2 linked regions of the Bombyx mori genome follow. The protein of the gene in region 2 interacts with the protein of the main gene of each other region in a pairwise test. Links are inferred from orthologs where the notes say so. Each region holds a gene or a part of one and is shown on either strand. Other genes may lie near its edges. The genes, in order: Jnk and CD2-associated protein.

The links.
Region 1: the proteins of CD2-associated protein (region 2) and Jnk interact in a two-hybrid assay, tested with the Drosophila melanogaster proteins (2 studies listed by BioGRID). The link is inferred for Bombyx mori from reciprocal best matches to the Drosophila melanogaster genes cindr and bsk.

The regions. Positions count from the first base shown.
Region 1 is NC_085109.1:1,359,850-1,371,470, forward strand, and holds the end of Jnk (c-Jun NH2-terminal kinase), read right to left. Parts: intron 9,205-11,621; coding exon of another isoform or gene 9,077-9,204; intron 8,215-9,076; coding exon 8,085-8,214; intron 7,432-8,084; coding exon 7,333-7,431; intron 6,927-7,332; coding exon 6,828-6,926; intron 6,189-6,827; coding exon 6,054-6,188; intron 5,381-6,053; coding exon 5,251-5,380; intron 4,347-5,250; coding exon 4,189-4,346; intron 4,105-4,188; coding exon 3,979-4,104; intron 3,632-3,978; coding exon 3,467-3,631; 3' UTR 1,126-3,466; downstream 1-1,125. UniProt on the Drosophila melanogaster protein: Mitogen-activated protein kinase and key component of the c-Jun N-terminal kinase (JNK) pathway which phosphorylate and activate transcription factors involved in a wide range of biological processes including response to various stresses, cellular proliferation, differentiation and migration, and regulation of cell shape.
Region 2 is NC_085115.1:10,598,104-10,610,031, reverse strand, and holds part of CD2-associated protein, read right to left. Parts: intron 10,932-11,928; coding exon 10,748-10,931; intron 7,844-10,747; exon of another isoform or gene 7,412-7,843; coding exon of another isoform or gene 7,362-7,411; intron 4,718-7,361; coding exon 4,612-4,717; intron 3,177-4,611; coding exon 3,047-3,176; intron 1-3,046.

The sequences.
Region 1 (11,621 bases), on a different chromosome or scaffold from region 2:
ATTAACTTAGAAAGAAGTTGTTACCAGTATTCGATGATTACCGAACGAGTCCTTTGGTTTTACAATAATAATATGTTTAGTGATAATTACTTTTATTTAAAATACCGCCTTCTGTAAATAATTTAGAAACTAAACTGTTCACACCGATGGTCTTGCAATGTAGTAGTTAAACGAAATCCAATAGATGTCACTAAATTAAAAAACGACCTAACTCGCTTTGCCCTTTCCCTCTCTCCACGGTTGAGTGGTTCACAAGACGCCCTACCTATTTTCTTACTCTCGCTCTTCCTAAATTGTATCTTTTCTCTCTAGCCGTAACGAATCTGTCGCGAGTTAAATTTCACTCTCAACGCGCCTAAAGAAGTTTTACTTCAAAAAATATATAATGAATTCCTTTTTTCTTATTTATTTCGTTCATCAAACAGCTGTACAGTTAGTTAACAAAACTAACTAAGTAGCTGGTTTCAATATCTCTACTTTCAATACCTTTATCTTTAAACAAATGTAAACGCTTATCCCGCACTGTCTTACGAAAAAAATATTACCTAGATATTAAATTTCCTTTTATGCATTTACATTCAAAACAGAAATCATTTTTCTTATTTATTTATCTTAATTAAAGTACTCAAAATAAAAAGATATATGTATGTATATTATTTTTCGGCAATATTGTAACAAAATGAAAAACTGGTTTGTATTATTTGGTTCATTTAATTTTAGGATTTTCTTAGATTTAGAGAATATTAATATTCATTTATCAACCGTCTATAAACTGTGAATTGAAAAATAAATTAGAATAGATATCCATAATCTGGTTTTTTTCTGCCGCAAAACAGTCAAGCGTTCCCGTTTGATGTTTCTTTGTTCTGTTGGAATTTAAGCAATTGCTTGCCTTTCGACAAGTTACACAAAAAAGTTAGATATCCACTTAATAACAGTCTGGCAGGTTTTTTTACTAAGATAGCCAGTTCTGATTAGCGCCATGTTCAGTTTATTCATTCATTCATGAGACAGTATCTTGGAAGTAGGACTATTTTAACGATGGTGAATCAACAAGAATTGTTTCTAAAGTCACTGAAGGTTGACATGGATTTTGAAGGGTATTAAATAAATAAAACATACAACTATAATAACCATTTCGATTTATTCAGTTAAAATATGAAATAACTTACGTGTACAGTAAAAATAAGTATTTTCAGATATCAATCCAATTGTTAAGTGGGTCGCTTCGGACGCTGACACGTCGCAGCACGGCGATACCTTCACGAAATGTACTAGAATATCGCTAATGATTACATTAATGTAATATTGTATTAGGTACATTAACTAATACATGGACAATTTGGACGTACACTTGTCAATATTATTTATTTATATTAATTTAAGATAAAACGTATTTATACATAGGTATAGAAACAGTTCACTTTGCTTTTGTTCCATTCAATTGCAACAATCATTATGACATACACAAGTTACGAATGACATTAGTCTTATAAAATACAAATGAGAACAAAAGTAGAGCGAATCGGTTTAATAGATGTTTCGTAGAGAAGTGACGCGTGCACACACATACACACGCGCGTACGAATGCACATATCATTATTGCTGTTGTCATAATGGCGCCATAACGCCATCACCAGATTAGTATCCACTACAAATTGTGCTACACCATGAATATTATCACGACAATCGTCCATCACTATCACTTAAAACTTATTATATCACCTAATGAGGTTTCAAACGATAAACTACGGTGTACCTCACACATTCATTACTAAACGAATGTCTTCCATCTAAACACGCAAATCAACTGGATATTCTACAGAGACGGATTGCGTTCGTATGTAATATTTTATTAGTAATTAAATGCTCTGTATGTTCCGATAAAAGGCATACATAAATATGTGTATATAGATAAATGTTGCCAAGTAATTTATCGTTATATTTCCGTTTATTATCAACTAATTTAGCGTTAGAAGTTTATGTAATGTAATGTTTGAAGAAACTTCTAAATTGTCTTTACTCATTATAAATATTTATGATGTAATGATGAAATAAGATAACTTTTATCGATTTCAAATATGAAGCTACAAATTTTTTGGTGAAACTATTATTATTCTTATAACGGTAATTAAGTTCCGTTATGTATGTAATTTTATATTACTGTTTTTTTTTCTCATGTGTTTTACGTATCTCTGTTTCCAGTTCCGTTCTACATCCAAGGGTGACGTGTGTGAGGCTTCCTATAAGTAACTACTTAGGTAAAAATGTACTTACGCTAGTCGCAGTGAATACGATATCAACAACCTAACTAATCTCTAATTACCGAAGAACTATTAACATCACAAAATCCCAACTATCAAGATGTATGTACGCGACCAAGAAAATAATGTTTTACATACGCACGGCCTCACTCGCCTTTGTCTATGGCCTCGATTTACACTTCTATGGTAAACGCGGGAAACGTTTTTTTTTTAATTTCATCATCGATTTCGGAATTTTAAGGTGAGATATGCAACAGTTATAGTCGATAAACTTAATATCGAACGCATTAAACAACTAATAATGATTGCACGTTAATTATAATTATACAATAAAATAAAAATTTAAGAAATAAAAATAAAATTTTCAATTACATTCGATAACAACACAGAATAAGCTCAACTTTCCGTATCATTAACTTCGTACAGCTAGTTTACATCATTACGTACTTTATATTTAAAATAAATCAATTCAAATAAACAATTGCATAGCATTAAGATCCATAAATATATATATAACATTTATTTTTCACAGCTTATCAAAATTGTTGTCATTACAAAAATATCCAAACGTATGAAAATATAGTGGACAAAAGCTGAAGTCGTCGCCGCGTCGGGTTCGCTAAAGGCACTCCGCAGTGGAAATTATTACTCGAGTGGTAATTACGAACGAGAACTCAACTGTGACGGAGAGGGAGGGGGAGGGAGGGGGACAAACAGAGCTTTTGAAAAACGATAAAAAGCGCATTGTAGCCTTCACACTAAATAATAAAACTTATGCTATGAATATAATACGTCATAAGAACGGGAAGAAACTACGTAACGGGGCGATAACGGATTTGAAACAACAAGCGGGGGGACGCGGGGGACGCTGGGGGGGGAGTCGACTGTGACCCAGCGCAGCCAGGAACGTATGTCCTCGAGGGATCCCCTCGGAATTTCTTTAACTTCGACCAATTCTACAAAAGGCATATTTTTCCCGATTTTTAATTCCAGACTTTCTCGAAGGATCCTTATGAGATTGTGTCAAATAGTATCTCCAAAAACAATCACGGGTTATTCATACAAGGTACCACTCTATTTTGTGTTACGGTTTATAAATTCACATCGTTTTCACATAGGGTTATAGATTTTGAGTGTATAATACCCTATGCGCAGAGGGTGAGTAGTGTTCCTTCCTGGCTACGTGAGGGAGGGGGCGGTGCCTACGTGGTGAGTGCGGGCTGCGCGTGGTCGGCGGGCGGGGGGTGCGGGGGCGGGGGGTGGGGCGGCGCGGAGTACTCGACCACCTCCTGGTAGATGAGCTGCTTCCACTGCTCCACGGTGTGCTCGCGTTCGTCCACCGAGTGGTCGTATGAGGCCGGTGCGGGCTGAACAAAAACACCGCTCAGTTTTTCATTGTTTTATTGCCTTATGCTAATACCAAAATAGTTTGAAAATACACATGCATCTGAGCTTGGCTACCTCAGACCCTCCTACTTCCAAGTCGGGCACACCGACTCACTTGGTATCAAGTTCTTGACAGTTAGGATCCCACGGACATCTAATGGAAGGATGTCCCGCCCTTCAAACAGGAACGCGGTAGAAATAGGCAAGACTGTGGTACATACTCGTGCGGACGTTTCCAGAGAGCGTGGCTGCTACGGGCCGGCGCAGTGCGTGGCCAGTGTCAGTGTCAGGGTCAGAGTCAATGTCAGTGTCAGAGTGTGGTACTCACCGCGTTGACCTCTACCTCGTCGTACCACACGTTGATGTAGGGATGCAGCAGGGCGTCGTCCACTGAGATGCGGCGCTCGGGGTCGATGACCAGCATGCGCGACAACAGGTCGCGGGCCTGCGACGCCTGGGGGAGGGGGGAAGGGGGAGCTCGTCAGTACGGCGTCGACATCGGTGACGTCACGGCGCAGTCGGACCGGCGCGGCGTTACCTTGAGTCGGTTGTGCTCGTTGCTGTCGCTGGGGAACAGTATGTCCGGGAAGAGCCGCTCGAAGCTGTACCCGGAGTAGCGCGGTCTGTTCTCGACGTAGTTGCGGACCGTGGGCTGCAGCCGGGACATGAACGCGGCCGACGGCGTGCCCAGTTGCTCTGGTGTACAATAACAACTGTTATTACAGAGGCGTGCCCATGTCAGAGACGGTCAGCTACCAGCGGGAGAGGCCGGAACAAGGCACAGTATTGATTTGATTAGATTTTTTTTATTGCCCTTATAGACAGTGTGCTTAGTGTGAGTTTCTTAACGTTTTCGATAGCGTAAAAGTTAACCTAATTTTGTATGCAATTGGAACAGCGCCCCTAGCGGCAAACGTACGCAAACGATCCCATTTCATACAAATATGAGCTAACTTTTACGCTATCGAGAACGTTAAAAAACTCTCACTAAGCACACAGAAGAAGCATACGCTTACGCTATACGAGTATACGCTTTCAAACTAATATATCTCTGGTAAGTTTGTATGATTACGTTGAAGATAGGATCATTGTTCAGCTTTTCTTGATAAACCTGTTACTGTTTTAAAATTACAACCAAACGAACGACTCAAGTGTTATATTTGACTAATATTTTAACACGCAATGTAATACAGTTTAGAATCAGATGACGCACGGGGGGAATACCCGACGTTTTCGTATGATGCGAGAAACTACCTTCAATTTTCAGTGAAAATTATTATAGATAGTTAGTTTACAAAACACATTTTTTTATTATTATTTTAAGCTGCGGTGTGTTGGAATTATTCTCATCTAAAAGGAAATCTCTTTGTCTCCCTCTAATCAAAGGGAATCTCTTTATATCCTAACCTCCGTCTGATATATGGCCTGCCTACTGCCACTTCAGTAGCAACAGACCGACCGGACTGGACATCAATTGAAGGGACCTATATTCAGAAGTGGATAGTGGACAGGCTGAGACGACGATGGTGATGAAAGGCAAATCGTTCAAAAGCAATCAGGGAACCTGTGCATTAGTTATAAGAGACCAGCGTCACCGTACCGATGATCTTGTTCCACTGGTCGATGTGGTCGGTGCCGGGGAACAGCACGCCGCCGCGGATCATCTCCCCCATGATGCAGCCCACGGACCAGATGTCCACGTTCTCGGTGTAGCCCATACCCAAGATCACCTGAAACGCGCCGACAATAAAGCTTTTAGGGTTCCATAGTTATATTGTTATATCCTTGTAGTCGTCGCCTAAGGGATAAGACGTCCGGTGCGTTCGTGTTGAGCGATGCAACGATGTTCGAATCCCGCTGGCGGGTACCAACTTTTCTAATGAAATACGTACTCAACAAATGTTCACGATTGACTTCCACGGTGAAGGAATAACATCGTGTAATAAAAATCAAACCCGCAAAATTATAATTTGCATAATTACTGGTGGTAGGACGTATTGTGAGTCCGCACGGGTAGGTACCACCACTTCGCCTATTTCTGCCGTTAAGCAGTAATGCGTTTCGGTTTGAAGGGTGGGGCAGCCGTTGTAACTATACTGAGACGTTAGAACTTATATCTCAAGGTGGGTGGCGCATTTACGTTGTAGATGTCTATGGGCTCCAGTAACCACCAATGAAAAATTGTGTGTAGCCTAGTTTTTAAAATTTAATGTGAATTACTCTCTCTCTCTCTCTCTCTCTATCTATCTCTCCATCTCCCCCTCTCTCTCCATCTCCCCCTCTCTCTCCCTCTCCCCCTCTCTCTCTATCTCTCTCTCTCTCTCTCTCTCAGAAGGGCAGAAGAATGATGATGATGAATAAATGTTTTGGTGTTAGAGTGAAGCGAGGTGTGTATGGTCCCACCTCCGGCGCGCGGTAGTAGCGCGTGACGACGTAGGGCGTCATCATGAAGGTGGTCCCGGCGGTGCGAGCCAGCCCGAAGTCCAGGATCTTCAGCGTGCAGTCGCTCTTCACCACTATGTTGGACGGCTTCAGATCCTGATCGCGAAACGAATCCAATATTAACTTGAAATACTCGATTTCATTGGCTCGTTAGTAAAAATAGCTTTATTATGAATTATTTACAATAAATTATGTCAAACAATTACATATTTACGATAATTCGTTTTATAGGCGTACCTACTGTAAGTTATAATGGTTAAAAATTACCATTGAAAAAAAAAAAAATGTTTCTGTAGTATCAATCAAATGACATTACAAAGTAGAATGATAAAAAAATTGCTCTAGTTTTATTTCAGCGACGTCACAGTTCAGTAAACGATACTCTTGTTTGTTTGTCTTGTTTATATTTTATGTTTTATTTTAAATATGCATTTTTAATTTAGTATAAATAGTTAATAGCTTCGAAAGTGTAGTAACTTATAAAAACTTTATAAAACTTAACTTTATTTAACTTTATAAAAAGCTACTAACATGGTAGATAGGCATTTTAGGTGAGCAACTTTGTTAATTTTCTAAGAACACATGGGCTCATAAGGATTCGCATCCAGAGCCGTAAAACACTCTCAAAAAATATATATCTAAGAACACGTTTTTAAGATATCTTTGTTAATGTTCGAAAATCCTGAGACTGAGTGTTGCCAGCCAAAAGGTATTTTTTTCCCTTAAAATACGAACCCGATGAATGATTCCGGCGAGGTGCAAGTGTTTGATGCCGCACAGCATCTGGTACAGCAGATAGCTCATCCGTTCGTGATCCAGATCCATCTGAATCACCTGCAATTAGCATTTTAACGCTTTTAGTGCCGAACTTGTTTCAATACAATTTACAAAAATAGCCAAAATATTTCTCAAAAAAAGTAGGACATTTAAAAAAAAAAAACAAAAAAAAAAATTACATTTGTAAATCAATGCATACAATGGAAAATATTTTGAAATGGTTCTTTATAAACGTTATTTTAGTTTATTAAAAACATGATTGTTTATTTGTATATTGTGAATAAAATTATATCCTTACATTATAAGTTAGATTAGTTTTCGTTATCGTGTTGTTTTATCGTATAATTTTACTTACTTACTATCGTTTTACTTATGTCTTTTATGTATCTTTTTAGCTTGTGACATGTATTGTGAGCCTAATAAATAAACAAATAAATAAATTAATTAATTATACAGGACTGACTTGGCACAGATTAGCGTCCATCAGCTCCATAACCAGATACACGTCTTGGAATTCCTCGAGGCTTTTCTGCGGCGTGAACGCGTTTAGCAATCCGATTATCTACAAACAACGGCACATCATTAAATTTAAATACTGAACCTCTATTGTCATGCTAGCAATTCCTTTATTGCCATGGAAGAACTGCAATTTAAATGCCGGCTGCATTGTCAAGTCGTTGACAAGAATCTCTTAGGCCAGGGGTCGACAAGCAGAAGCCAAATATAGATAGCACGTAATTGGATTTTATTTAAGGTGCCATTTTTTAGAACATATTATCGAGGGGTGAAGGGTTATTTGGTTTAAGCGAAATTTTTTGAACTTTACAAGAGAGCCATTAAAAGGTTATCATTTTGAAAAATATATTACGAAAAAAAAACTTCTTCAACTCTTTGAATGGAGTAAACTTAATTGAAGTTCAATTAAAACGTCGAACAATAATAATAATCAACGTTAATACCAAATAAAAAGCACCTTTAATTACGAAAATAAATTTCGCGTATTAAGCGAAATTTCGCTAAAACCAAATGTTCTTTCACCCCTCGATATATTTCTATAGCCTTTTGTTTAAAAAAATTTTACTCTTTACAAGGCAAGATAGTAAGCAATATTTTGTGCCTACACTAAATATTTCGCGAAAGAGTCATAGCTGTTGTATCAAAGGGCCGCGGGTTGCCGACCACCTTTTTAGGCAAATAAAAAATAACCAAGCTTACATTTTTATGGTTGACAAGTTTCATAAGTTTGAACTCCCTGTAAGCTCTTTTCGCGTGCGTCACGTTCTGAAACGGACGCGACAACTTCTTTATGGCAACATTCTGTTGCGTCACCGTGTCGTATGCGGCACTGGAATACAAAATCAAACAGTTTAGCTTTAAATTTTATTAATTTTTTATTAACACTTAGAAATCGATGAGCAATCATTTCATATTATAAATTCAGTTTCTTCTTCAGCGTGGAGCGGAGTGAAAAAGGTTGTGGTAAAGTTCATTTAAACGAAAAATCAAATACCAATAGTTTATTTTAATTGCCGCCGTAATGAGTTAAGAATTGTTTATGGTTTTTTAGTGAATAATTTACCTGTTTATACACACACATGAACATAAAGAATTAGAGTAATAAACTTATTAATAATAATAAATACAATATTTATAAATAAACCTATTAAAAAACCGGCTATTAAAAAAAACGCAGTTTGAAAATTATTAAGATAAAGCCATGCATATTAATGTAATGACGAAAGTATGTAGTACCAAAAATTTACCTGTTCAATACATAAAAATCAAAACGATGTTTTAATACTATTTATGATACAGATGATAAATGTGCAATACTGAAAACTCGTATGTCAATCAAAAAAAATCAAAAACAGAAAACGGCCATTTTGAAAAAAGTGACAAGAGCGGGAATTAAACATCACACTCACTCGTTAGCTTTATTCCAGAACGATCCTTTTTCAACATTATTAATCAGCCATCCAATAAACCGAAACAATGGACACCAATCGTGAATTTCGTCCACCATCGAATTTCTTAAGAACAACATTTTAATACCAATAAAATCACAAAAATACAAAAATAAATCCGTTGCACGCAAAAGTTTCACATACGGACATCGCTTGGTTAACGCGGGAATTTTAAATTAGTACAGATTAGTCCCAAAAGCTTGAAGCGGGAGTTTGATTGACCATTGTATTGGCGCGGCTTACCACACCATGCCCTGGGCGCCCGCGCCTCTGACCACCAGCTCAGTGTACCGGGTCGGGATAGTAAACACCGCATCACCGACCGTCACTGAGTAATACTGTATCATCTTACCGCTATTATACTCGATCAGCTACAAAAGAAATTGCATGTTTATTTTCTTCATGCGCGTGTGTGACAGTGTTCTGGCTGAATGATTATGGATGTTGTTGCTTCTTTTTCAGAATTAGCACCCCTTTTTAAAGATATTTGATTTCTAAGCGTAATGTTGGTGTGTAATGATAGCTTCGGGTCTTTAATTATTAACGTTTTATGTTTGTTGTTCACAATTAAATTGCAAGTTCTCAATGGCACAGCATAGACGAATGAAAGAACTCTCGAACCATCTGGTCTTAAGTGTTTACAAAAGACCATAGAGAATAGAGAGAGCTGTCAACATTTTTGGATGAAACAATACAAATAATAAATACACAAATATATAGTACGTAAAATCATGCCCCTTCATAATGTAGATAAAACTAATATTTATAAAAAAAAAACTATCATTAAACTCTATCGAAAATCTAATAATGTGAATATTTTAAAACAAAATGCCAGATTGTGAATATGTATCGTGCTGGATCGTGCAAGAGTGATAGCGTGCTGTATAAAAATTGCGAATTATTAAGTAAAATACACATAAGAATTTGCCTATTCTTAAACTTATTACATTGCATGCATGCTACTAAAGAATGAAGTGATTATACAACCCACCGTTGTTTATAATTCGATTTAAAGAATCTCATTACAAAATAGAACGCACGCGATAGAGATAGGTAAGACGGAGATGACGCCATCATGTCCGTGCCGGTCGACAATACTCCCTACCACTTTAGAGGAGGAAATTGGGATAAGAACTTTGAAAAGTAGAGGTTTTTTTTTAATGCCCTTGTAGGCATACTCCCTACCACTTTAGAGGAGGAAATGGGATAAGAACTTTGAAAAGTAGAGGTTTTTTTTAATGCCCTTGTAGGCATACTTCCTACCACTTTACAGGAGGAAATTGGGATAAGAACTTTGAAAAGTAGCGGGTATTTTTTTTAATGCCCTTGTAGGCAGACGAGCACATGGCCCACCCGATTGTGAGTGGTTACCGTCGCCCATAGCCTTCAGCAATGCCGGGGGCAGAGCCAAGCCACTGCCTAGTAGTTGGGGGGATGGGATAGTTTTATTGGGATACAAGTTGAGGATATGTTATAGCAACTAAAAGTGGCCGGACGCGCGTGGTAACAGCTAGAGACGCTGTTACCAACTTAAGAATCTACTAACCGTAATATGTTATTCTTTAAATATTTCTTATGAAACTCGAGATCTTTGCTGTGATTCCTAGTTACATTATTTAAACAAAACTAAGACAAATTATCACGTTGTTACTTAAAATGTATTTGTAAAATGTTAAGTGCAAATCATGAAACTGTAATCCTATAGTTGTTTGCAAAATGTTTGTATAAAAGCTAGAGTATAATAAACTGGTGGTATGATCTCTTGTGAGTCCGCACGGGTAGGTACCACCACCCTGCCTATTTCTGCCGGAAAGCAGTAATGCGTTTCGGTTTGAAGGGTGGGCCAGCCATTGTAACTATATTGATACCTTATGTCTCAAGGTGGGTGGTGGCTTTTACGTTGTAGATGTATATGGGTTCCGGTATCCATTTAACACAAGGTGGGCTGTGAGTTCTTCGACCCATCTATGCAATATAAAAAAATTATGCAAAACCGTTGGTAACTTTGTACGCTGGTTTCAAAACTTTGTACCTACTGTCGAATTGAAACTGGATGGTCATTGATATTTCAGCGAAGGTCTTTCCTACCGCAACGCCATCGTGCTGAAAAAGGTCTTTTACTAAGTAATCGATTATACCCATAGTGCGGCCTAACATCGGTATTTATTCCAAACGATAATATAAAAAATAATCTGCACATTGAATGATCTACTTAGGTTTAGTTGTTCATGTCTCCAAATCACCGATTTTTAAACCGATATCTTGTCCGTTTGTTTGCTACTTCGACTATCATAAAAAATATGAACCAGTTTTGAAGGAACGTTGTTTCCCTACTTGTTCTAGTAACCTCGAGGGGTTATTCTAGATTCACCGAACTAGTAGGTGAGCTCACGGGGCTAAAACCGGGAGTGTTGCTGATACTGACCCTAGTAAGAGCAGTGCTTCGCAGAATCTACCACTGGATCGGAAACGCGACCCACTGATGAAGGAACGTGGTTTGAACAACCCTTTTTTTTATTGCTTAGATGGGTGGAAGAGCTCACAGCCCACCTGGTGTAAAGTGGTTACTGGAGCCCATAGACATCTACAACGTAAATGCGCCACACACCTTGAGATATAAGTTCTAAGGTTTCAGTTCAAACTGAAAGGCATAACTGCTTCACGGCGGAAAAAGGCAGGGCGGTGGTACCTACCCGTGCGGACTCACAAGAGGTCCTACCACCAGTAAAAACTACTTACTACTAGTAACTTCACGACGATAACGGTAATCGCAATTAGCCAATTAATA
Region 2 (11,928 bases):
TTGGGTCTGCCCCTGGCATTGCAAAGTCTATTGGCGACGGTAACCACTCACCATCCGTATGGCCGTATGGTCGTCTACCCACAAGAGCAATAAAAAAATAATTAAAAAAAAACAATTAAGTGTGTCGCGCGGTACTTTGAAGGAATAAAAGCCTGTTGTTTTGTGTGACCCAAGTTCAAGAACAAATAAAAAAATCCAGATCGCGTTCCTGGAATATTGAATTGTAAATACAGTCCCTTATATCAGATAAAACAAGCAATGAATTAGCATAACATAGTTACATAATTCGGAATCAAGTTATTTACAATTACTATAACAAGAGCCTGGCAGGATATTTGTTGTAATTGTCCAGGAGGGCTCAGCAAAGGAAAACATAAAAAGAAAGCTACAAAGAATCCTAAGCTCTATCTATATCATTTCCAGTAAAATTTCCATTCATCTAACATATTTACAAAAGAGAACCATAACATCATTCACTCCGAATTTTTTTTTTGTTTAGAACCGTGTAAACAGTTTGGCCTCTCTATTACTGTCAGACCAAAACGCTACTGCCTTCGGTACTTAAAATTATTTTTTTGGTGTCGGTACAAAACGTATATCTGAGTAATCTCTGGGTTTTATAGGCTCCTATCTTTGAAACGGCGGGGTCGCTCTACGGAAGTCGTACTGCGACGCTGATTATAAAAGTATCTCCGCGGGAACAGAAAACTAAACGCGACGAGGGGGGTGTGATGACGCGACTTCCTCCAATTACCGTCTCGGCATCGCGAACATTGATGATCACACCCGGATTCGTATGAGCCAATAAATATGTCGAGTTCACTTTTCTAATATTCCTTTGCGTGATACGTGGCGTTGCGTTGCCCATATGAAATAACCTATCAACAATAAGATACGTAACGTTGCAGTTCAAAGCAGGTATATTTGAAGTATATTCTCTTATAGGATTTGATATTTATAATTATTATTATATCGAAGGGTAAAAGGCTATTTGGTATAAGCGACATTTCGCTTAATACGCGACATTTATCTTGGTAATTAAAGCTACATTTGCATAAAAAGTTCCACGTTTTTGATTGAGCTTCAATTAATTTTTCGCCATTCAAATAGCTGAAGAAGCTTTTTTGTTATGATATTTTTTCCAAATTTTAAACTCTCCTGTAAAGTTGCAAAAATGTCGCTTAAACCACCAAGCCCTCGATATGCACCTAAATATTTTTTTTCTATCACAGTTCGTGGTACACTATAGAACTGAGACTTAGAATTGGTGTCTCAAAGTAGATGGCAGTGTTTACATTACTGATGAACTCCGGTAACCATTTAACACCAGGTGGGATATTAGCTAGTCTATCTACTTAAGCAAACATTGAAAAAAAAAATAGTAGGTGGGTGGCGCATTTACGTCGTAGATGTTTATGGGTTCCAGTAACCACTTAACACCAAGTGGGCTATGAGCTCGTCCACCCATTTAAGAATTTTTTATTTTTTTTTATCGTAGACGATAGTTATTTTATATAATGTTCACCAAATTGCTCAGGCGCATTGTTAATAGTGAAAACTAGTATGTGATTTTTTTGTTATAAGTACCTATAATCTATATTGTGTGAACGTATTGTATTGTTTGTTTCCTAAACAAATAAAAGTAAAGGATAAAGAGGCCCAGAGCTTTCTGATTGATTCAATTAATTTGTGAGTTAGCTCGCTTCATGCGCTCAATGAAAGGAGATTGAATTAAATCAAGAACATAAGTGATTCAACGTTAACAATTCAATTTTATTATTGCACTTCATTGAACGCGACTCTTCTTTATACAATGTGTATAGTATATATATGTACCTTCTACCGTTGTTTCAAAATAATTATTTAACACTAAACCTACCACTACCGGTCAAATGCACTTTTGCAACTTTTGTTATATTTATATATATACTAGAGGTCCCGCAGTAGTCGAAATTCGACTATAATTAATTGGGATTGTAAGTTTATACACTATTATGATTGTATTTTATACTTCTATAATCACAAATTTCGCCAAGACTACACTATAAAAAAAATTAACAAAGGCAATATTTAATCTATTCTCAATTTGACAACAGACGCCAAAAACAAAAGTTTGACAATAAATAGTATGCATGCGTGTGTGCGTCAAATACACGGTCTATAGTGTGTGTAATGTTTTCTTTATTGATTTAATGTATCTTTTATGCATTATTTAAAAAAAATATTAGCATTGTGCACTTCTTCTCTATATTCTCTGTAAGTGTGGAAAATTTCATACTCCTCCGTCCGCGCAATTTTCGTAAAAAGGGATACAAAGTTTTTGCTTCACGTATTAATATATAGATTTAAATGCTGAAATACCGTTATCAAAATATAAGAGAATTCTTAGAGCATACATATAAAACTACACTTCAAATTATTATTTTTTCTTTTACATATAAACACAATCATGAAAATACAATAAATAAAATCGAATACTTTTTTAATAACCAGTCAATTTAACCAAGCGCGATAGAATACAAGAACTGTCGGTAAGTTTAGTGTTAAAGCTTCAATAAGAACTCACACGTGTTTAATTAATACATTAATAATGCTGAATTATACCGACTTACTGTTTCATTCAAAACATCATATTCAAAACATATTCGAATTAATATTTAATTTAAACACCAAAAACAATTGATATCTCAAAAGCACTGTACTCCGAGACGCCGTAACCATAAATAATCATAGATCAAAAACAATTTTCAAGTATTGAACGCTGTTCCGAATGTTCCGAAAGTGAAATGTAAGGTCATTGTCATGAGCGACACATGTACAGGCGGGAAGAGCGCTTACGTTACTGTTCTTACGTACTAGTTTCGCGTGATTTACACCATTGTATGGCCCTCAATACGTTATGTGCATCGTTTAAACCGGTGTCGGACACCTTACGTCATTTTTATTTATGTGTATTTGATCAGCAAATGGAATGCTCCTTAGATATACTACGCAATAAGACGTACGATGAAAGAGTAGATTCAAAAATGTGATTGCGTCAACTTACCTGGCTTCGGTGGGAGCGCTGGAGCGAGTTCGAAGGGTGCCGGCTGCGGTGGGTCGAGCATCACAACAAAGTTAGACGGAAACACACCCACGCGACCCTGGCGTCGACCTTGCCACCAGCCCTCCTCTACCTGAATGACAGACACACAGTCATGCGAACACCCATATTGAACATGGTACTCATAGGCAGTGGTTTGGCTTTATCCCTGGCATTCACCACTCATAATCCGTTGGTACGTAAGATCACCATTTGAATGTACAGGTGAACGAGCTCATGGTCCACCTGATGTTATTTTTTGATATATTTTTTGATGATATTACGAAGCCCATAGACATTACTCTGCAAATGCCACCAATCACCTTGATACACAAGGTCTAAGCCTCAATTGTAAGGCCTACCTTCGAAACCGGAACACAATACTATTTCGCGGCGGAAAAAGCAGGGTGACCGTAGCATACCCTTTTTTTTTTTTTTTTTTAACGCTGGGGAATCCATTTACGGATACCCGGTCCGGGGGGTAACGAACCGGGTTATGTCGGACTCCGGCGCCTCCTGAGAGGAAGAGGGGGACGAGAAGGTCCTCCACCTCCCCGAATCCCTCGCAAGAGACTACGCCTTGAAAAAGGCGCGCGAAGCACTTGCCCCGCAGAACGACTACCGACTAAACCCCATCGAGCTCCACCACACCGGCTACACCAGACCTACGGTACCGCAGTGCGCGCCGAAAGTCCGCCTTCGCCGGTACCCGTCCTGATGATAAGACGGGATTTCATCTCCGGGAAAATCCCGAAGGACGTCATTTCGGGAGATACACCGTGAGCGGCGCACAGGAGCCACCTTGCACCGCCCCACCACCGGACCGACAGTCGAGTACCGGGCGCCCCCGCACCCGCCACCTGACAGTCCCTACGGGGGCTGAGCGGGAGCTTCACGCCCGCGCCGGCCATCCCGCCTTCTGCGCTGAGGTGCTGAAGAGGGATCCCACTCCCTTTCACGCTCCTCAGCCTCACGGGACGCCATTACCAGGTCACAAAACCTGGCCATGGCCTCCCACGAGCCCTGATCCTCTAACATGCGGGCGACGACAGCCCGCAGGGAGAGGTTTCTCCCCAGCACCGCGACGAGATCTCGCCGCGAGTGCTCCCAACGCGGGCACGTTTCGAGCGCGTGCTGCGCGTCATCGTCCGGGTGCCCGCACTGGTGGCAGCCCGGATGTGGCTCTCTCCTGCAGACCTTCCACAGGTACCTCCCGAAACAGCCATGTCCCGAGAGGACCTGCGCAAGGTGAAAGGAGAGTACGCCGTGACGCCGATCCGACCATGCCTCCAGCACGGGCACCAGGGCCTCGAGGGTGCACCGTAGCATACCCTGCGGACTCACAGGACGCCCTTCCAGCATCACTTTTTTACAGCTACCTTTCGAAAGCAAAAATCTTGAGCTCTCAACGTAGGTGATAATGATAAAAATTAAATCGGAAATGATTTGAAAAATACTTTTTAACAACTGAATTAATTCAGTCAGTAATTCCGTATAGTTTGTTATGTAAAATTGTATATAGTCCATACCTCTCCTAGAACTTCAAGCACGTCGCCGACGCAGAGTTCCAATTCATCCGGATTGACTGGTTGATAGCTGTACAGAGCCCGACACCGCCCTTGCACGCCCGTTGATCTAACAGAAACGGACAACTTGAATTACGTACAAAAGATATATTGCCACCACCCAAAAATATTTAGTTACGTTTTGTTTTTTTTTTGTTACTTAGGTGTATGGACGAACGAGCTCATGACCAACCTGGTGTTAACTGGTTACCAGAGCCTATATATATACATCAGCGCAAATGCCGCTACCTACCTTGAGATATGAGTTCTTAGGTCTCAGTTTTTACAGTACAACGGTTGGCCCACCCTTCAAAAATCTTAGGTCTCAGTTTTTACAGTACAACGGTTGGCCCACCCTTCAAAAATGATTTATGTTACGTCGAAAAATTCAAGCACCTTATCATCATCGGATAGTTAATTATGCGTTGAAATTCTTAAGGAAGTTGAACATCGACAAATATCTAAAAAGTTGCCTTTTGTAAGAGACACTTTTAGAAAACCCGATGACGCCGATGATGCAACTTTAACACACTGGCTTTTATGTCGTTTTCATTTCTTACTCACACATCGACTAAACTAACTATAATAAATGCATTATCATTCATTCGTTCCTGCGCAGATCTAAGTTTAAACAGTAGTATTCAAATAAACATTCAAACTCCTTGTCGCGGAACGAATAAGTGCTACACAAGATCTACTGGATCTTAAAGAAAATGTTTAAAATAAAAAGTTTAAATCGTAATTTGGTTAATCAGGTCAATATTTGCGACATAAAACGACGCTGGCCCAGTTAAGATAAAACAATGCTCACATCGAACGCATTTGGAAGACAAAGTCTTTAGGAATGGATATTTGGGCCGTCAAACCGATTACTGTTGGCACACTTGTTTGCCGTGCAGACTACTCTGCCTGAGCGAAGGAAAACCTGACAGGTTTTTTTTATTGCTTAAATGGGTGGACGAGCTCACAGCCCACCTGGTGTTAAGTGGTTACTGGAGCCCATAGACATCTACAACGTAAATGCGCCAGCCATCTTGAGTTATCAGTATAGTTACAACGGCTGCCCCATCCTTCAAACCGAAACGCATTACTGCTTCACGACAGAAATAGGTGGGGCGGTGGTACCTACCCGTGCGGACTCACAAGAGGTCCTACCACCAGTAATTACGCAAATTATAATTTTGCGGGTCTGATTTTTATTACAGGTAAAGTTAGGTAAAGTTCAAGAAAGATCTCGTCATGAAACCAATGAGTTTGAAAATTCACTTGGCTTTAATAAGACTTTAGGATGCACATTAGCGTACTTATCTTCTTGATTCGAGATGACGATAGCGAAAGTCACAAGAAATTAATGTTTCGATTTAATTTATAGAAATTTAATGAATTACAAATGTAAGTAAATTGAAACGCTTCGGTGCGTCATAATGGTCGTTACTTTTGCGCGATTGTGTTCTTGTTAACTGTAAATGACACAATTTTTTTTTAATCGGAAACTATGACATTTCGCTTCAGATAACATCTGCGCATTTTAACTTTTAAAGTGTCAATTGAATTTTTATTAGCATACATATAATAATAATATGTAGTTTCCTCCTGTAATGTAAATGTAATTAAATGTAATTAATATAATTATATTAAATGTAATAAATATGTTAAATGTAATCTATATAATATATAAAAATGAATTGCTGTTCGTTAGTCTCGCTAAAACTCAGGAACGGCTGTACCGATTTGGCTAATTTTGGTCTTGAATTATTTGTGGAAGTCCAGAGAAGGTTTAAAAGTTAAACAAATATGAAAATGCTCGGAATTAAATCAAAATAACAATTTTGTTTTTCCTTTGATGTGTCCCCCGTCGGACGCGTTCCTTTTGTTTGTTTTAAGTTTATTTTGTGCAAAAGTTTAGTTCTTTTATTTATCGATTATGACACTACGAAGTCTGCCGGGTCAGCTAGTTATATAATAATGTAAACGTAATTCCTCACACTGAGCCATAAGAATGTGATTTCTTAATTGGTTTAGACTAGTTTAGAGTAACAACTGTCCATCCTAAAATTGAAAAAATGCTTTCAAATAAAAATATGAAAGACGATATATCTACCCATTTGGGCTTTGAATGGGGCGTATTCTAGTTATACCAATAAGATATTCATATACTTTTTTTTCTAACATGCCTGTCGTTTCTCGTTTTATAGTAATTTCAAAAAATTATTATTAATTATTTGTACAAAATATTTTCAATTGTTTTGTTCCATAATTAATTATGAATATTTTTATAACGCACATATTTATGTACTGAACTGACTAACTCCAGATAAGACGATAGCTCATATTAACAAGTACATTATTTTTATTTATTAACTTTACAATTCACTGGAGCATTTCATTTCAGAATTATTAATTATTATTGTTTAACATAAGCCCCAAAATTTTGGAGATATAATGATATGTGCGAATACTAATTTAATATATCACTATCAATATAATCAAACAATTAAAGCAATCTACTCAGTTATTGAATCAAGAATTAAATGTTCATTCACATTTACAATTAAAAATGCGATCATTTTTGATCAAAGAGTTTCAACATCATCCTTCTTGGCTAAACAGCAAGGTTTCTGCGCAAACCGCGATCCTATCATCCCTAAAAATATTCAAGATGACAACCATTGTATCTTTAATTCATATTTTTGTTCAATAGAAAATACTCTTACCTCCAGAATCTGAAGGAGCCGCGTGTTTTTACTATTTTCTTCCAAACCATATGACACGTTTTACACTGTAGTATAACACAGTATGTATTTACTAAGGGTCACACAAACACAAAGTAAAGCGAGCAACGCGTGTTATCGTCTTATCCGGACTGATTAGATAGTGCGTATAACCATTATTATTCCAGTAAGTAATCAAAAAAAAAAAAATTTTAAACGGAAATCTGTTTCAAATAATATTCATAATTTGAAATTCAACCTGTTGCATACGGCAGCTGAGCGACTTTCGCCGAGTGGGGCCGTTGCTTTCGACCACGAAACCGGATGTCAACAGAAATTTCAATTTAATAATAATATTATGCTGTTTATAATAAGTTACGCGGTCCCGTTTCAACTATCGAAGACATGATCAAGCTCGTTTCTCATGACATATCGTGTTTTCGTGTCGAAACATTACGTGTCTACTATGTTTATGGATGATTCTGATGTCTATTTTTTTTATTACTTTCATTGTTTTATATCATGTACAAAAATGATAAAATTGTTATTTAAATTGAAAACGATTAAATACTACATATTATTCTGTTAAAGGCATCGAAATTAGTTACATTAATTAATTGATAAGAAAAGTACGCCTCCACTTTAATGATGGGTGCGTAGTTTAATGAACGTCTCGCTGTTTCTCTCGCTCGTCCGCATTTTAATGACAGTGACGTCGTAAAGCGCATGTGCATGCTATTTGTGCTATTTGATTATTTTTTAAGGGATTTTATGACCTGGTAACTAAGACCTTTAGATCATGTCTTATTTTAATTTATATTCTTATTTTTATGAAAAATAATATGTAATATGGAGTGAAATGAAATGAAATGAAGATGATTAATTTGAGACATAAATCAACTGGGATGAAATTAAATGAAATGAGATGAGATGATATGGGATGAAATTTAATCTCAGTAAAATGGTAAATGACCACCATTGATATTTTTTCAGTGGACTTTTTGGAGGATCCCGAGAAGATACGTCCAGCGTTCTGTGCTATTTGACAACAATAATTACCACAGATTCACGAAAAAATACGACGAAAAGATCAGTCTGAATAGAATTTATAAGCCAAATTATGTTGACATATTCAGCAAAACCTGAATTTTCAGGTTAATTTTATTATAAATTCCAATTTTTAATTTTAACTACATTGTATTTTTTTCTATTTGCTATGAATTATAATTTTAGTATTAAACCCTTTTTATTTTAGTATTGTATTACTAATTTGTCATAATATTAGGTTGTGGAAAAAGTTTCTTCGCATTTTTTAAGAAAATTCACAACATTTTTTAATATAGTTTATTTACATTTAACTAAAGTATGTAGGTACCATTTTGTTCGATAGCTTTTTGCCATCTTGTAGGTAGGGACATGATCCCATTGCTATAGAAATTTTGGGGCTTCTGATCAAAATACCGCGACAATTGGTTTTGGCAGTTATCTCGTGATGTTAACCTGATACTGCGTAAATAATTCTGAAGAGACTGAAACAGGTGGAAATCTGAAGGTGCAAGGTCAGGACTATACAGCGAATGCATTAAGACCTCCCAGCCAAGCTCTCTTAATTTTTGCTGAGTGGCTAAAGATGTGTGAGGCCTAGCGTTATCATGATGAAAAACCACACCGCTTCTGTTGATTAATTCCAGCCGCTTTCAACTTCTTTATTTAATCTCATCAGTTGTTCGCAGTAGAGTTCAGAATCGATAGTCCTGCCTGGTGGTAACAGCTCATAATGATTAATACCCTTCCAATCCCACCACACACATAGCATCCCCTCGTTGCGATTTAACCCGGGTTTCCCCAGTCTGTGAAGCTTGACCGGCCTTTGACCACGACCTTTTCGCACGTTCTTGTCGTACGTGATCCACTTTTCATCACCAGTTATCAGCTTCTTCAAAAATGGTTCGGTTTCATTACGTCGTAATAAAGAATCACAAATGAGTACACGGTTCATTAGGTTTCTTTCAGTGAGCTCGTGAGATACCCAGATATCGATTTTTTTGTGTACCCAGTTTTTTCAAATGCGCCAAAACTGTTTTGTTGTCAATTCCCAGTTCTTCAGCTACGTCGTAACTACTGATAAACCCATTTTGCTCCACTTTTTCAAAAATGGCATCCATTTTATCCGTAACAGGGCGACCAGAGTGACGTGCATCTTTGACATCAAAATTTCCGGATTGAAAACAATTTGTGCTACTCTCACAGACACTGCACTAAGTCCATAAACATCGCAATTTTTTTCGCGGCTTGCGTTGCATGTTTACCTTTTTTGTAGTCAAATTTTAAAATGTATCGAATTTCTTCATTAGATTCACTCATCTTGACAGTACGATAAATAAATTAGAATCACATCTTTTCTTAATTTGAATTTGAAATTATCTTCTTTAAAATTTAAGCTTTTAATGATACCAAAACCAGCCAGATACAAATAGTATAGCCAAAGAGATTTTATTACAAGTTCATACATAGTATAATGCGAAAGACTTTTTCCCCAACCTATTATTTTATGTTATTCCTGGGTTTTCCGATAGGTAAAATAAATGAACAATTGAAATTTAATATGACGAAGTGATATTTATTCTATTGATTATTCGCTTAGCATCCGGCGGAACAGAAAATCCATAAAATACGAGGTTTTATGTCGATCGTGCCTCATCTTTATTATTGTTTTTAATGTTAGAAGCGTTCCATAGTTTGAGTTTCGTATATAATCATATTTGAAATAAAATTAATGGTATTATCAGAAAGAAGAAGAAAGGCATACGATGCCAATTAAAAAACAGTCTGGTGCAAACTTGTTGAGCACAAAAAATATTGGCGCTAAAACAAACTATATAATTTCGAAATGGCCAGTTACTACTATTATCCGCTATATTAGCTATTTATTCTAAGAGACAAACTTGAACGCTACAAAATATTTCAAAAATGTGTCAAATAAAAAGATTACATTCGTAAAAATCATAGCGACCAGTTCAAACAATTACAAAACTTAATATGTGTGTCAGTGAACTAGAAACATCCGACACACGTTTTTTTTTATATTGTGTCGGAATCCAAACCAGTTTCATGGGTGTTCAAAGCCTGGAGCAGATTACAATATGTGTCAAAACTTTAAAGACATCTTAGCTGTTTAGTTTATCTATGCTTTACAAACCTCATTAACATAATTGAACTTTAACATAGTGTATGATAGTTATCATAAATATACATTAATGTCTTGAAATTTTCCTTCCAAAATGCTTTCGCCGTATATCAAAACGCTTAGAAAAATGTTTAACATACATTTTTACTGTTCTAAATCAACGATCGTTAAAACTGCTTCTTATGTTTAAAAGTCAACTAACCTCGTAGTAGCATGTTCGTTTAGAAGAGAAACGAAGTTGTCCGGGAACATGCCGCGGTTTCCACGTAACTCGCCTCGCCACCAGCCCCCGGGCAATCTCTCAACGTCGCGTATCACGTCCCCCGGTCTGATCGTCAGCTCGTCCGCTTCTGATGCATCATACGCGAAGTTAACGGTGCAAGACACTGCGAAAGACATCAAATGTTTCATTATTATTTTTACACATCTTGTCTTTTGCCCTAAGTACGCTTACTTACACAAAGCGATAAGTAGCAATGCAATGAATTGTGATTAAATGCGACATAAAACTACACGCTACATTTAACTCTTATTTGACTAAGGGCTCTAGCACATCAACGAAACTGCCGATGGTTAACGCCTGACGTCAAAGATTACTGATTTTATTCATAGACGACGAGTACACACACTCACGGTCCAGCTATTGTTAATCGATTACTGGACCAATAGATATCACAACGCGAATGCCACCACCCATCATAAGGAATGTGGTCTAAGCCTTAAGCTGTCGCTGTCTTGAATTTTAAATGATACCCATCTGTGCAGGTTCGCTTGCCTTCTTTCCATCAGTAAACTAATAATATATATGTAAAATCAAATTCAAAAGAGACAGTTATGAAAATTACCAGCAATGACATTTTGAGGGCAAAAAAATGACAACCATTACCGGCAGTTGTTTTCCTCTACCCAACGCAAAGTTTTTTTTTTTTTTTTTTTTTTTTATAGCTTAGGTGTGTGGACGAGCTCACAGCCCACCTGTTGTTAAGTGGTTACTGGAGCCCATAGACATCTACAACGTAAATGCGCCACCCACCTTGAGATATAAGTTGTAAGGTCTCAGTATAGTTACAGCGGCTGCCCCACCCTTTAAACCGAAACGCATTACTGCTTCACGGCAGAAATAGGCAGGGCGGTGGTACCTACCCGTGCGGACTCACAAGAGGTCCTACCACCAGTTTATTCACAGGGGTAAAATGCGGCGTGTGTCATGCCTTATCCTCAATTCGAAAGAGCTTTTCTTATGAAGCCAAATAGATGTAGGCAGTACTTTGAAGTTCCCCTGCTCAGAAATATGAGCAAAATTTCATGTCAAACTGTGTATGTGCTTTTAAAACAAGACACTTGTATTGTGTTTAAATCCATCAAAACCAGGGCCAATGGTGT